2 linked regions of the Mytilus edulis genome follow. The protein of the gene in region 1 interacts with the protein of each later gene in a pairwise test. Links are inferred from orthologs where the notes say so. Each region holds a gene or a part of one and is shown in the gene's direction. Other genes may lie near its edges. The genes, in order: DNA-directed RNA polymerases I and III subunit RPAC1-like and DNA-directed RNA polymerases I and III subunit RPAC2-like.

Region 1 (7,659 bases):
GGTCTTACCAAAATGCTATTATAATAATTTTTCTTAGCTGCAATTAGATTTTGTATATCTAAATTTCCTTCCCTTTCTGATAGGTATATATATATAAGTACGTCTGAGTCAGTGACAACTCTACACGATATCTCAGTAGCATGGGTTCAAATCCCGGCGAGGGATGATAAAAAAATTTGCAAAAGCAAATTAACCGATCTAACATTGTTGGGTTGATGTTTAGACGAGTTGTATATATATATATATATATGTAGTTCTCCAGTAACCATGAAACACGAAAACATGCTGGAGGATGCAATAATATCATGTATTTACATTAACAATAACTAGGTGAATTTGGAATGTATCATTCATATGAACAATATCTATTAACGTTCTCATTATTTTCATGTCTCAACAAAACAACATTTTGATAATATAATGATAACTTTTATATAATACAACGAAATAAAAAAAGTTCTACACTTTCCACTCTAATCACTTCTAGCTTTTTTCTGTTTTTTTTAGGCAAAAATCACCTTGCAATCAGATACTGTCCTCAGAAACATTACTTGTTGTTTTACATATGGATTATGACATCTTTATCTAAATAGCCAATTATTGTAACATTTCTGTTAAAAATAACCAACAAAGTTCATAGTAATAAAATCATACACAATAAATGACATCTGTCTACAACACTTTGGTCTATTAAGTCCTATAACATAGTATTTACTCTAATGATGATAACATAAGAAGTTGTTTTAAAACTTTTGTTTGACTTGTCTCTCGAATTTCTCCTGCTAAAAACATCTCATCCACTACACTGTAAACCTAAAAATAAAACAAAATAAATATAACTGAAGATCGAAGTTTCCCATTAAATAAACTGTTGACACAAAGATATGTCTTGTCTGTCAGCAGAAAATTCAGGAATAATCTTATAGATAGCTACAATCTTATTAAATCAAAGCTGCAGGACCATGACCTAGGACAGGGCCTCAATATGGTTGACAAACTGGGATTTTAAAACATTTAAACTGCAGCATTTGTTTGCACCTGTCCTAAGTCAGGAACCTGTTGTTCAGTGGTTGTCGTTTGTTGATATGGTTCATAAGTTTTTCTCCTTTCTTGCTTTTTGTTGTTGGTTTTTTTTTCTTCTTTTTTTTCTATAAAGATATGATAGATTAGAACATTTGTTTTCCTGATTTCACTGTACAGACCCTTATAAATTGTATGAAAACCATAGAAACCAATTACTTAAAATGTTGAGGCTCAACAAAGAGGACACATAATATAGAAAATAAATAGTTAAAACTTCTTAATGGAAATTCTGTAATTGCATGACTTGTTCTGTCAGTTACAACATCATGAATTTTATAAGATTGATAGATTGATTGTTGGTCTTTAATATCACTTACAGCACACTTGGCTAAGTCATGGTGACAAGCTTTATTGGTTGAGGAAGCCGGGACCCAAGAGAAAACCACCAACTTCAAAAGGAATACTGTCATTCATATATCTATTAAGATCCTTTTATTCAACTTGTATAATTATGAACACAAAATAAAGGTTTTATGTTGAGACACAATATAAATACTTTACCTTATAAAAGTTGAATACAAGATCTAATTCACAGACATTATGGAAATATTCATTAAGCACTTCTACAAAATTGTGTATTGCCTCTAAGTATGCAAGATTGTTGTCGTTTACATCAACACAGATACAGAAATATAAACCAGCATATCTTCTGTACACAATCTTAAAATTCCTAAACTGCAAAAAAAATTACATATTATTATACACAGGTATATCTATTACAAATAACCCTTTAAAATACAAAAAAAAAACAATCTTTGGATTGCTTGAACATAAACTACAGGTAAGCATTCATTATTTTGTACATTCATTTTGGCCTTTAGTTTTCTTCTTTAATTTTTTTTACATTTGTCATTTCAGGGTCTTTTATGGCTGACTTCCCAGTATGGGCAATCAATGTTGAATAGTCATGATAGTTGTTAATTTCTGTGTCATTTAGTAACTTGTGGTGATGTTTTTCATGTATTTCAACTGGTAATAAGTGCTAAGTTTCAAGTTGATGTTTCAGCATTTTTAAGATACACCACTTGAAACTTACTGTGTCCATTGTTTTTCAAGAATTATATTGCATCACACTGATCTTTTAGTACAAGAGACCCTTCAAAAATAATTGTTTGTTTATTCATATGATGGGTATTGTACATGTGCTAGTATCACACAGCATACAATGTACCTCTACAAAATTAGTGTGTTTAGCATCACGGACAGTAACAACAGCATGCACTTCTTCAATTAGTTTCTGTTTTTCATCATCATCAAAGTGCATATACCACTTAGCCAGACGCGTTTTGCCAGCCCGGTTCTGTATCAGGATAAAACGAATCTAGAAAAAATGTATTGTAAATTTACAGTTAATACCATAAAGTTAAATAGCAGCAAAAGTTTAATATAATAGCTTCATTAAATTACTTGAGCAGACTGCTGGACATTGGTCAACATCCTGGTGTTATTTTTCACAAGACCAGTAAAGATAAAAGTATCTTATGAACCTTTGAAGTGGAAGTCAGATGTCATAGATTCCCTGTGCCTTTGTGAAATTGCCTCTTGAATAATTCAGAATACACATAACTCTAAAATACAGCTTCAAAATATATAGGTACATACATGTACATGTAACATGTCCTTTTAATATGTTAAATTTCAGCAATCGTCAAAATGGTGTGCATAATTGATGATTTTTTCAAGTGGTGGACATAACTTGAAAGTGGTCTATCCAACCAGTAAATGTGCGACATGAATTTGGTGTAACAGACCCAAGGCTCAATTAGCGCACATGTAGGGTCTGAATGTGTTTGTAAGTGAACAGACAGATACCAATTTAAGGTAGCACAATACAAAGATTTTTTCACTCCCAATCAGACAACTTTAAACTGATGTAATTCATTTCATCCTTCTTTATATTTTATAAATGAAGTACCAAAAGAAAGAAGAAAGATCAATCTTTCAAATTGTGATAATTTCATTATGACATAACTATTACATAATTAATTATTATGTAATTAGTCGCTATATTTTGATGTCCACACTTGAATGAATTTAGCGTCTTTGTTTTTCATAGCATCCCAAAATATTTTATAGATTCTTGTACAACACAGCTTGACCTCCAAAACTGTGTCTCAGATTTCCAAAATCATCAATAGAACAAATTTTATACTCAATTGAACTAAGTGGTCTCTAATGAATTGATGTTGCAAACTTCATTGAAGATTTATGAGAGAATGAAATACAATAGGAAAAATCTGAGACACAGTTTTGGAGGTCAAACTGTGTTGTGCAAGAATCTATAATTTTTTTTAGGATGCTATGAAGATATGTCTTAATGAAATTATCACAATTTGAAAGAATAATCCTTCTTCTTTCTTTTGGTACCTCATTTATAACATTTAAAGAAAGATGAGTGGAATTACATCAGTTTAAAGATGTCTGATTGGGGATGAAAAATCTTTGTATTGTGCTACCTTTTATGCACTAACATAACTTACTTAACCCTTTTGCTGCCAGATGTTTTTCAGGGTTGCATTCATATGCCAGAAAATATGACCGCTCGACAATGTGACATGCCAAACAATGATGTCATTTGATATATGATGTCATGCTGTAATGACCGTTACATTTGAGAGTCATTGTAGAAACATATTACACTTTTTAAGTTTCAGTCTTTTATTTTGAAAGAGGTACAGTAATGATGAGAAGCTAGCATAAGTTAAAACATGGACATATGTGTCCCTCCAGCACAGTCGGTGTGGACACATGTGTCCCCCCGGCAGCAAGAGGGTTAAAACTGTGTGCGCCTGTCAGACAGAAGTAGCCCGGGCAACAGAAGTTAGAACTTTATTCTTTCAGACTTTCTGCAGAAAGTAACGACTCCCGTTTTTTTTAAGAAGAAGCAGAGGAAAAGCATCAATAGGCCAAGAACTCCCACAAAATATTAAATTCCACCACTCAGAAATTGTATTGTAAGTTATACATTCAAATTTTTTTAGCATTGCTGTCAAAAGTGACAGTGTCAACAACACTCAGATCAAAATGTGGATCTCAACTCCGAATACACCTAGCACTATTGCAAGTTATTATCAACTGAGAAAGTGTTACGGCCAAATAATGTGTGTTCAATCATGAATAAATGCCTTAAAATATAATAAAAAGAGGCTGTGTTACCATTTCTGAATAATTTCGTATACCGGAAATGATTAACCTCCCACATTCAACGTCAGGAGAACGTTTTGCACCAAGGAGTTTTACGTTGCTTCAAAGCGTTCAGATGATCTTTATAAAGGAGGACCAGCACATGGAGCTGTTTACAAACATGCATGTAGCTTAGAAAAAATACCCAAGTCTGACATGACAGACCTAATAGATGACGTCAGGAGGAAAGTTACTCTACGGGAGCATGCTGTAGAAAATGTATGTTTTTTCAGCATTTATATGGAACTAGTATACTATAGTAAAGGTTGTAAGCTTCTGGTTAATTTTGAGTCTTATAATTTCTGTATAAAAAGAGGAAAAGATACATGTCCTGATCCTGTTCCTAAAGCTTATAATATATGTTGAAACAATAGACCACTTTCGAGTTCATCCGTCACTGGATAAAACTCGTCAATTATACGTGTCTTTATGAGGTCATTTACCAGATATAATAATCTGATAGAGGGGTCGCCTGTATCCCTGCACTATTCACGTTCATCTAGTCCGAGATTACTCTGAGGTCCAACGGCTGTTTTGTCAGACAAGCTGGGGCCGTGGGACGTCAGAGCTCGTCCCATATCAAAAAGTGGATATTTGCCCACCCAAAATAGATGCGCTGCTTCGTCGCTTCTGGTGCCGACTGACGGCCTTGGAATTAAATAAATCAGGCATCAATCTGTTCATTTTTCATTTATCTTTTCATTTATGTAAGTTTCACCTACCTGCCAACTTTTATTTTTCCATATTTTAACAGTTTTCACAGAGACCCATCGATTTTTCCATTTGCCTTTCATTTTCAAAGATTATCACGTGACTACGAGAAAACAGTGATGATTTATGCAAATGACCATAATTTGTTGAATAAATGGTGTATTTGGAATTAAAATTCGCTATATACATTGTACACAAGTCATAATCACACCTGAACTTTGTCATTATACAGGGAATAACACTATGAAATTCAATCATCGGCCAAAAAATATATAACTACAAGTAGTCTCTGGTTGTAGTAAGAAAACCAGGACAGGTTCAAACAAAGATTTTGAAAGCAGAGAAAACTGTGTGCACCTTTATAATCAGCATGACTTTATCAAATGAGTTAATGACCATATGAATACTCAAAATAAATTCAGTCACAGACCTGATAGGTTGTGGGTGTGTAATTTATGTTAAGATACTTATTCTAAATATGTAATAAAAACATAACTCATGAATTATATTTGTAGACACATAGCTCTGACTTTCCTGGAAATTATGAAGATTATGATGACTCTTGGAGTCAGAAAAAATTTGAAAAGGTAAGATTTGTATAGGTTACTGTCCGGCCTTCAACAATAATTGAAACCCACACCTCATAGTCAGCTATAAAAAGCCTCAAAATGACTAATGTAATGCAATTCCAAAGAGACAACTTACTGCCTGATTTATTTACAAAATAATAATGAAATACAAATATGATATTTAGCAAAAAACATCAACCACTTAATTACAGTTTGGGACAGGCACATACAATGTGGCAGTTAAAGTTGAACTAGTTTTAAGGCGCCAACCCACCACTAAACTTGGACAGTGGAATAACAGTACACCGTAAAATTAAAAACAAGCAACAAATATAAGTTGCAAAGTATTTAAAAAAAAAAAGAAGTAAATTATAGTAAAGCAAAGACATTAAACTAATGAAACAATGCATTTTACATGTACAGTCAAACCTGATTAAACCGGACCCTGAATAAACCGGCTTCCTGTACATTCCGGCCGAAAATGAAAGTCCCATTTTTTTTCCTTCAAAGTCTTTGTTAAAATACCCTTTGTAAACCGGACCCTGTGTATTCCGAATTCCGGTCTAATTATGAAGTCCCAATACTCTTAATTACATTAATTATTACCTGTCAAAACCGGTTTGTCTAATTAATTTCACTGATCGATATGCAATCAAAACATAATTGTTTACTTTATACAATATGACTTTTCAGGATAATTAATCAATTAGTCAGGTGTTAAACTGTGAAGTGAACTTTCAATCGTACAGTAGTGAGCTGTATTATTTATTAAAACATTATAAACGTGTCAATTAAACGACAAGACACACCGAATATATCTCGGATTTAACTTACGTTTTGTAACGTTAACTTGGATAAACAAATTTAAATCGCAGCATAAGAAATTTACAACGTGATGTCGAAACCCTGGGTTCCCTGCTGTGAACCCCTAAACAAATGACCTTGATAATGAAAACCACCCAGATGACAACAATCAATGGGTATAGTAAACTGTACGACAACGTTTCAATAGTGATGAGATTACGTTTGATAATATTCTGGCTTTTTGATCGGCCATTCCAACATTTCAAATAAATGATCATGGAAGTAAATCGAAACTCTCGTCTCACAATCCAAACAACGCGAGCATTAGGATGCAAATGTAAACAATGGAAAACGAAGTGAAAATATTTTAATTGATCAGATATTCTTAACTATCAAAGAGAACTTTTATATGCAAACTATCGGACGTCACAAGTCATTAACTTCCGGTCGATACGGAAACCTGAATAAACCGGCTCACTGCCCAAACCGGCCCTTTTTCATAGTCCCGTAGCCGGCCGGTTTATACAGGTTTTACTGTAGTTTGTTAGAACAAGGTTATAGTTGTAAACCAATTATACTTTTTTAGAAGTTCAGAATTGATATGGTAAAGATGAGCCATGATGAACTTGAATTTGATATGGTAGGAGTAGATGCTTCTATAGCCAATGCATTTAGAAGGATTCTTCTTTCAGAAGTAAGTAAAAAATAGCAGGTTACAAACTCACACTAGTAATGCTTCTATAGCCAATGCATTTAGAAGGATTCTTCTTTCAGAAGTAAGTAAAATATAGCAAGTTACACCCAAACTCACACTTGTGTAGACACGTTAGGAGTTATGCTTCTACAGCCAATGTATTTAGAAGGATTCTTCTTTCAGAAGTAAGTAAAAAATAGCAGGTTAAACCCTAAATCTCACTAGTGATGCCTCTTTAGCCAATGCATTTAGAAGGATTCTTCTTTCAGAAGTAAGTAATAAATAGCAGGTTAAACCCCAAATCTCACTAGTGATGCCTCTTTAGCCAAAGCATTTAGAATTAATCAAACAAAGCATGTTTCAATTAAATTGACTTTATTTAAAATCAGTAAATAAACAACATAAACACAAGCTCTGGTGGTCTAGTTGACTAAGTATATTAAATCACACAAAAATTCAAACAAGTGTTTTCTCATATTCTTGCTATTAGTCAGATCTTTTAAGTGATACATGTTAAAAGATGTTTGTAATGGATTGACACTACTATTATTTATTATTTAAGGTACCCACAATGGCCATAGAAAAAGTGTTTATTTACAATAATACCTCTATAAT
Region 2 (7,888 bases), on another chromosome or scaffold:
TGACAAATAAATTACCAATTTCTTAACTACCAGTATCACTGATTCAGGGGACTTTTTTATACAGCTAATTCATACCATAACTTCTGTTTCTCAACCAACATTCACTTGGGATAGTTTTGTAAATTTAACAGGGTTAATTTCCAGTTCACATTTTCAAATCTGATAAGATAAATTACTATTTCTTTTTGTAGATGAATTTTTCCTGTTTTGTAGCCTGTCCCAAGACAGGAGCTTGTAATTCAGTGGTTGTCTGTTGTTGCTGTGTTACATATTTGTTTTTGGTTCATTTTAATTGCACATTAATTACCGGTAGGCTGTTAGTTTTCTTGTTTAAATTGTTTTACATTTGTGATTTCAGGGCCTATTAAAGCTGATTATGTGGTATGGGTTCTGCTCATTGTTGAAGGTCATCCAGGTGACCTATAGTTGTTAATTATCTTGTGGAGAGTTGTCTCATTAGCAATCATGCTACATATTCTTTTTTATATTTAAGTTTCCATGAAAAATGCAAACATAAGCAGCAATCTCAAGAAAATGGCTGTACCAAGTGAGGAATTAGTCCAAATAATTATGACATTTTGAAAGACTATTATATTTTTTTTCTTTGACGCCTTACATCGATGTCAAAGCAAAAATTTAAATGGCCTTCCAAGACATCATAATTATTTGGACTTGTGATCAAGGATCTGTTATCCAATATTTAAGTTAATTGATACAGTTTAGTGTTTGGTTTTGTTAGGTTTTTATTCATCATCACCTTTTTTTTAATTTACCTTGGAGTTCCATATTCTGGATATTACAATTTTAAGAACTATTATTGCCAGGAACATGAGTGAGTCACATGCAACAGACTTATACTGTGGATTCATTAATATATGTTTTATACCAAATTGTGGATTTCGTGGGGACAGCATGTTCAGTCATACAGTGGAACCACAAACTTAAATGTTCAACAGATAACAAATTTTCTTAAGGAATGTATGCAGACTTTTATTTAGGGGCCAGCTGAAGGACGCCTCCAGGTGCGGGAATTTCTTGCTGCATTGAAGACCTGTTGGTGACCTTCTGCTGTTGTCTGTTCTTTGGTTGGGTTGTTGTCTCTTTGACACATTCCCCATTTCCATTTTCAATTTCATTTGCCATAACCACTAAATTAGATATCCACGAATATGCAAGTTTTTCTCAAGCCACCAAAAATTGGTACCCACGAATATAAATTCACAGTTAATGAAGTGCTTATACAACAAACCTGGGCATACGTTCTGTTAAAAACTACTGATTGACTTGCAAGGAGGTCAATATTTGGAGTGATCAAAGGTTCATATCCATAGCAACCAAGAGATGGTCTAAGATCATCTGCTACTATCAACAGAACATTCAGTTTCCCTGAAAAAAGTAAACAAAATATTTTTTTACTTGATCATAATTCTTTAATTTTGATAATTTAATTTGATAGATTACATAGATATAGGAAGATGTGGTGTGAGTGCCAATGAGACAACTCTCCATCCAAATAACAATTTAAAAAGTAAACCATTATAGGTTAAAGTACGGCCTTCAACACGGAGCCTTGGCTCACACCGAACAACAAGCTATAAAGGGCCCCAAAATTACTAGTGTAAAACCATTCAAACGGGAACACCAACGGTCTAATCTATATAAACAAAACGAGAAACGAGTACATCCCCTTTTAAGCCATCTTATCTTTATTTATTTATTGTTCTTCAATACTGTTTGTACAAGAAGGCCTAGTCTTATCAATCCCCAACACTGTATCATTATGCATATTATTATTACAGGTTATGTAATGTACTGTTGGGTTGATCTTTCTCTTGTATTTGCCTATCTTTACTTATACAGTCTTTTTCCTCCTATCTTCCACCTCAAGTTCTGGTTCTCAGATCACAACTTGCCTTCTGATTCATGCTAAATGCTTTATCAGAGTTACCATTGCATTGGTGTTTATGACAGATCTTTGGTAGTTCCTTTTTAAATTACACATCACTATTTAGAGTTTGACATACACGATGCACAAACAAGTCTTGTGTACTACGAGAAGACTTTTTTCACCATAAGTTGTGTAGTCTTGCTACAGTTGTGTTGCTTGGTTGTTTTTCTCATTTACAAATATAATTATACATCTACTTTATATAATTGAGATAGAAAATGGGGAATATGTCAAAGAGACAACAACCCGACCAAAGAGCAGATATTAGCTTAAGGCCCCCAACAGGTCTTCAACACAGTGAGAAAATCCTCCACTGGAGGTGGTCCTCATCTGGTTCCTTAACAAAAATTATTTTTTACCAGTGCAGTACTGAAATATATGAACTATTAATTCTAAATAAAAACTAATTACCTTTAGAAATAGTCACTAGAACCAGCAGGAACAGTAATCCATGACATATATTCATCATTCAATATTCAACAACTGTCATGACTGTACTTCTTCATTCCTACAAACACCCACCAATAGTAAAATAAACACATGATTATAATAGCTTGATAACTATACAGATATTCTATAAAGAGTATGAAGAGCATAAAAATACAAAAACTCTTTTATCTCCCCAGAGTTTAACAAAATGTATAATATATGTCAAAATTTAAGTCCAAATGTTAATGACATATAAAGTTTTGCTTTTTTGCATAAATCAATCATTTGCCAAAGCTACTTGGGGACAGGACTTATTTTTTATTTTAGAGAAATCTTTTTTTCTTTCTTTCTATAAACATGATACATAGTTTAATGGGTTACAAAGATATAAATCTCCTCCAGATTATTGGAAAAACCTTGGAAATTCCAAATCAAGATCAACAGACCAAAAAAATGTTGGAAAACACATAATAATGGAAAAACTAAGTCATCTTCCAGCAAACTCATGTATAGCATTTACTGATGGGTCCTGTCTTGGCAGTCCTGGCCCTGTAGGAGCAGGTGCTGTCATTTTTCCATCAAATAATCAACAACAAATTGAAATTAGTAAAGCTGTATCCAAGAAAGGATCAATACTACTCGGAGAACTGATCGCCATTAAACTTGTTGTTGACCACTTTTTAATATCAGAAAACAGACAAAACACAGACTCAATTACACTTTTTTCAGATAGTCAGACCTCAATTGGAATTTTAACTTTAAACTGGAAATCAGAAAATTACATCAAAGTCATAAGAGAAATTAAGAAAAACATGAAAGTATTAAAGATGAATGGAATTCCATTAAATTTTGAATGGACACCTGGTCATGCTGATATCCAAGGAAATGACATTGCTGATTCACTGGCCAAAAAAGGAGCTAAAGAAGCTGAAAAAATAGAAGAACCATCAGAAGTAACCAGGCAGGATATAAAACGTTCAGCAAGAGAAAGTGTTTTAAGAAAATGGCAGAACCAATGGGAATCAAGTCAATGTGGCAGAAATTATTATAACTATCATCAAAAAGTTTGTCAAAAAATACCAAAAGATTTACCATCCAAATGGTCGTTTTCAATTATTACTAGTTTGAGAACAGGTTATTGTGATCTAAATGATTATAAATCTAAAATCATACCATCATCAGACAAAAACTGTTCCTGTGGAGAGCCAGAAACTGTAGAACACTACCTTTTACATTGTTCTAACTATGAGGAGGCTAGAGAGAGGATGAGAACATCTATTTACTTTATAACAGGAAATATACGCATGGATTTAGACACCTTACTAGGAATTGATGAAGAAGACATTAATAGAGACAATCGAAATGAGATATTGTGCCATCTGGAAAATTATTTAACGGAGTCTGGTAGATTCAAAAACACTATACAGCAAAAAACACTATAATTCTAAATCAAAATTAAGTCAAAATTTGTTAAGCAGCAGCGGCCACCATTTCAATTAAGTACATGAGTGAAAATTACATATGTGAAAAAACTACAAAAGAGGAAACGTACACATTTGGGACACTTACTAAAGACTAAAGACTAAATGTTTTTCTGCATAATGCAATCATAAAGATCTTGAATTGCTACTTACTCAGTTACTGCCTATAATCATGATAATTTAACTATTTACAGCGGTCTAGTGAGTGAGTGAAGTTAGTTCAAATAATTATGACATCTTTTATAAAAAGCTATTATACTTATTTTCTTTAAAAGGCGTTGAAGCAAAAAATTAAGATAGCCTTGCAAGAAGTCATAATTATTTGGACTACAGCGGTCTGTGTAATGACACTGATACAAAACAAAAAGATAAAAGATTTTGGAAAAAAAGGTGGAGGGCTAAACAAATTGTTCTGTCCAGTGTTCCTAAGTGTCTTCTGCAAGAATTGTGTAAAATTTATAAAATTCACCTTTACTAAATTTTATATGTATCTTGTCAGTAAATTAGAAAAGATTATTATGTATCTTTAAATACTCTTAGATGTTTACTTCATCAGACTGCAAGTGCAGTCCACATGTTGAAGTGGGATTATTATACTTATATATATTATCAATATACTATTTCCAAAATAGCTTGAAACTAATATAATTGTCCCAGATAGAAGCATTGAAGATCATTGAACTGTTAATCAAGTGTGTAATATAAAGTGAAAGTACATACCCGTATTTGTTTCTAAAATTATATATTTGTAAACCGGAAACTACTTGTTTCGTTTTGTATGCAGCATGTCTAAGAAAGAAAAAGATGCCACTAAAACTCCTGTTGAAGTCGGTAGTCATCGTCTCGAAGTTGTAAGCTATTTCTTAATCACTTAACAATACCCTTTTCTCTCTAATTTTAAAACTTAATAAACAGAGAGCATTATTCTGAGGAGAAATTGTCTTCTCCCAAACTCAGGACCTCTGTCACAGGTACTTCACTATACTTGTTTCTATCCATTGGAAGGTCGACTATCAATATAAAGATTCTATTTATATGGATAGCCGACCTTCCTTTGGCTATGGATAGAAACAAGTGCCTGTGACCTCTGTAACTTGACAGCACATTATACACCTTATCGCTTATCCCGGCTGACCCGGCCGCTTGAACTTTTGACGTCAACAACAATCACTTTTCCATTGTTGCGTCAGATATTTTGTTTTATGACGTCTAATTTTTACGGGAACCTGTGTGATATCTAGTAATGGCAGACATATAGCGATAAGGAACTCACTAGTCCGAGATTACTCTGACGTCCAATGGTTGTTTTGCCAGAAAAGATAGGGCCCCAGCTTGTCTGGCAAAACAGCAGTTGGATGTCAGAGTAATCTAAACTAAACTCACAGGCACTTGTTTTTATCCATAGCTAAAGGAAGGTCGGCTATCCATATAAATAGAAGCTTTATATTGATAGTCAACCTTCCTATGGATAGAAACAAGTGCCTGTGATCCACGACTAGAGCCTAGAGCAGTGGAGCACATACACTTGTTTGTTTCTATCCATACATGAATATATATAGGAAGGTTCACTATCCATATAAATTATAAGCTTCTTCCTTTCTCTATCATATGTGGATAGAAACAAATGCCTGGTGACTGTGCACAGGCTACCGGAGTCGAAATAATAATGATGTCTTGAAAGGCTATTTATTTACTTTCTGTGGCGCCCAAAGGGCCCAATGTGAGCTTATATGCCATCACTTGCTGTTCGTCATCGTCTGTCGTCATGAACTATTTAAAAAATCTTCTCCTCTGAAACTACTTGATCAAATACCTTCAAACTTTAACTTAATATTTCTTAAGGTATCTAGTTTATAAATTGTATCTTAAGTTTTGATCCATCTTCAAAAATGGCCACCATGGCTAAAAATAGAACATAGTGGTCAAATGGCATTATGCAGTTTTTGACTTATATCTCAATAACTGAAGCTTTAAAAGCAAATCTGACTTGGGTTTAATCGGCCATGAAATAATAAGACAATTCCAACAACTCATTGTTGGGTTGCTGCCACCTTTTTGTTAGTTTTAACAAAATTTTACAGTTTTTTGTTATTATCTCGAATATTATAATGGATAGATGTAAACTGTAAGCAGCAATATTGTTCAGCAAAGTAAGATCTACAAAAAAATTAAATGACCAAGATTGTCAATTGACCCCTTTAGGAGTTATATTGCCCTTTAAAGACAATTTTACACAATTTGTTCATCAAGTTTACTAACATTTAAAAATCTTCACCTCTGAAATAGAGGTGAGCAATTCAGCCTCATGTTGCATATATTCAAGACTATAAATGCTGAAAATTGTTTCCAGACAGGAACTCAATATATTTTTATTGTTACATTTTATTTTTGTACAAGTTTTACATTTACAAGTTATGTAATATTTTGTGTGTAGCATTGGACAATGTTGGAATACTTTGTACTACATGTATATATCTTCTTCCTATTGTTCTGAATTTATGAAGTTTAATCCTCTTGCTGCCAAAGGTACATTTATGGCTTCTACCATTGTCTACACACAAAAATTGTTGATTGTCAAGGTGTCAATGAATGTTGTCTCAGTTTGTTAAGAATATGTATTCTGGGCAAATGAAAAAATTGTGAACAGGAAATTCTTTTAACAAACAAGTACAAAATGAAGTATCTTCATGATCTATTAAAAAAAAATATGAACTAATATCACTCATGAATCCCTTTGTGGGAACTTTAACATTAGTATAACCAAGAAGTTCATTCTATTTTTACTGTAGATAGAAACACCAGGAGAAGAAGACGAAACATGTAAAACATTTGTATTCCATAACGAAGACCACACACTGGGAAATTCTCTACGTTATATTATAATGAAAAAGTGAGTACTCTGAGAAATAATGAAGATTATGATAATAACAAAATTAATAGATGTACATTGTTTTGGTAAAGCTTTTTAACTACAGATTTTCCTCTGGTTTTATTTAGTTGTTGGTTTGATGTTTTATCATGTATATTGAAAGTTAAACTTATTTTTCCATTTTATCATATTTTTATGGTAGGGATTAGATTAAAACACAGTACGTCCTCTAATTGTAGTTATTGGCCTTAAAAATTTATCTGAAGGTCAACAGAAAAAAAGTCTTGACATCAAGGAAAATTTAAGTATCATTTTCTAATCAGTCATAATATTTAGACATATTTTCTTCTAACTTAATAAGCTTGATAACTATGATTATGGTATGGGTATTATTTTTTTCATAACTTTCTATATTTGATAATGATATGGTTTTGTTTTTGTAGTCCTGATGTAAAGTTTTGTGGCTACAGTGTTCCCCATCCCTCGGAACTTAAAATCAACTTCCGTGTTCAGACCTATGGTGAGTATTTATAATATTCATGTAATAAAGTATGTGAAATTTCATCTCTCAATAGAAATTTGTTGCATATTTTCTCAACTCATTTCAACCATGTTTCTTGGTTATAAGAAACAGTTCTGTAATCATATTTTTTTGTGATTCATAAAAACAAATTTTCGCAGCTGAATATAAATATCACTGGAATCTCATGTTGGTCAATGAAAATACAAAGCGGACACAATAAGTCAGAATGGTGGATAATCTAATTTGTTTTTCCAAAGTTCTTTATATTTTATAGGTTAAATGAATAGATAATATAAATTACTTTGACATTGATGAAGAGAAGTCAGAAATCCCATCAATATTGACATACTGTAGATACATAATTTTTTGTGGCATACAATTTTATGGAATGACAGATTTCATTGGTATAGAAGAACTAGGAATTCAAATCCTCAGTGTATAAGAAATGTGCTATAGAAATATATGCAGAATTTGGTGAACCACAAACAAGACAAAATTAAAAATCTTCAAAAATACAAATTTTCCTCAATCCACAAAAAATTGATGACTTCTCAGTAGATTGAATCAAATATGATTTCCTGTTCCAACTGCAAGATAAGTTTCTTTAAGTTTCATGAAAATATAAAAACAGAATTGCT

What was found.
Region 2: the proteins of DNA-directed RNA polymerases I and III subunit RPAC1-like (region 1) and DNA-directed RNA polymerases I and III subunit RPAC2-like interact in a two-hybrid assay, tested with the Drosophila melanogaster proteins (2 studies listed by BioGRID). The link is inferred for Mytilus edulis from reciprocal best matches to the Drosophila melanogaster genes Polr1C and Polr1D.

The regions. Positions count from the first base shown.
Region 1 is NC_092346.1:91,463,617-91,471,275, reverse strand, and holds the start of DNA-directed RNA polymerases I and III subunit RPAC1-like, read left to right. Parts: upstream 1-4,325; 5' UTR 4,326-4,422; coding exon 4,423-4,485; intron 4,486-5,492; coding exon 5,493-5,564; intron 5,565-6,936; coding exon 6,937-7,044; intron 7,045-7,606; coding exon 7,607-7,659. Other genes in the region: AP-2 complex subunit sigma, read right to left, coding at 712-813, 1,585-1,758, 2,255-2,404, 4,240-4,242.
Region 2 is NC_092351.1:1,777,264-1,785,151, forward strand, and holds the start of DNA-directed RNA polymerases I and III subunit RPAC2-like, read left to right. Parts: upstream 1-4,575; 5' UTR 4,576-4,643; coding exon 4,644-4,709; intron 4,710-6,647; coding exon 6,648-6,748; intron 6,749-7,170; coding exon 7,171-7,247; intron 7,248-7,888. Other genes in the region: iduronate 2-sulfatase-like, read right to left, coding at 1,250-1,386, 2,360-2,417; uncharacterized protein, read left to right, coding at 2,851-3,819. UniProt on the Drosophila melanogaster protein: DNA-dependent RNA polymerase catalyzes the transcription of DNA into RNA using the four ribonucleoside triphosphates as substrates.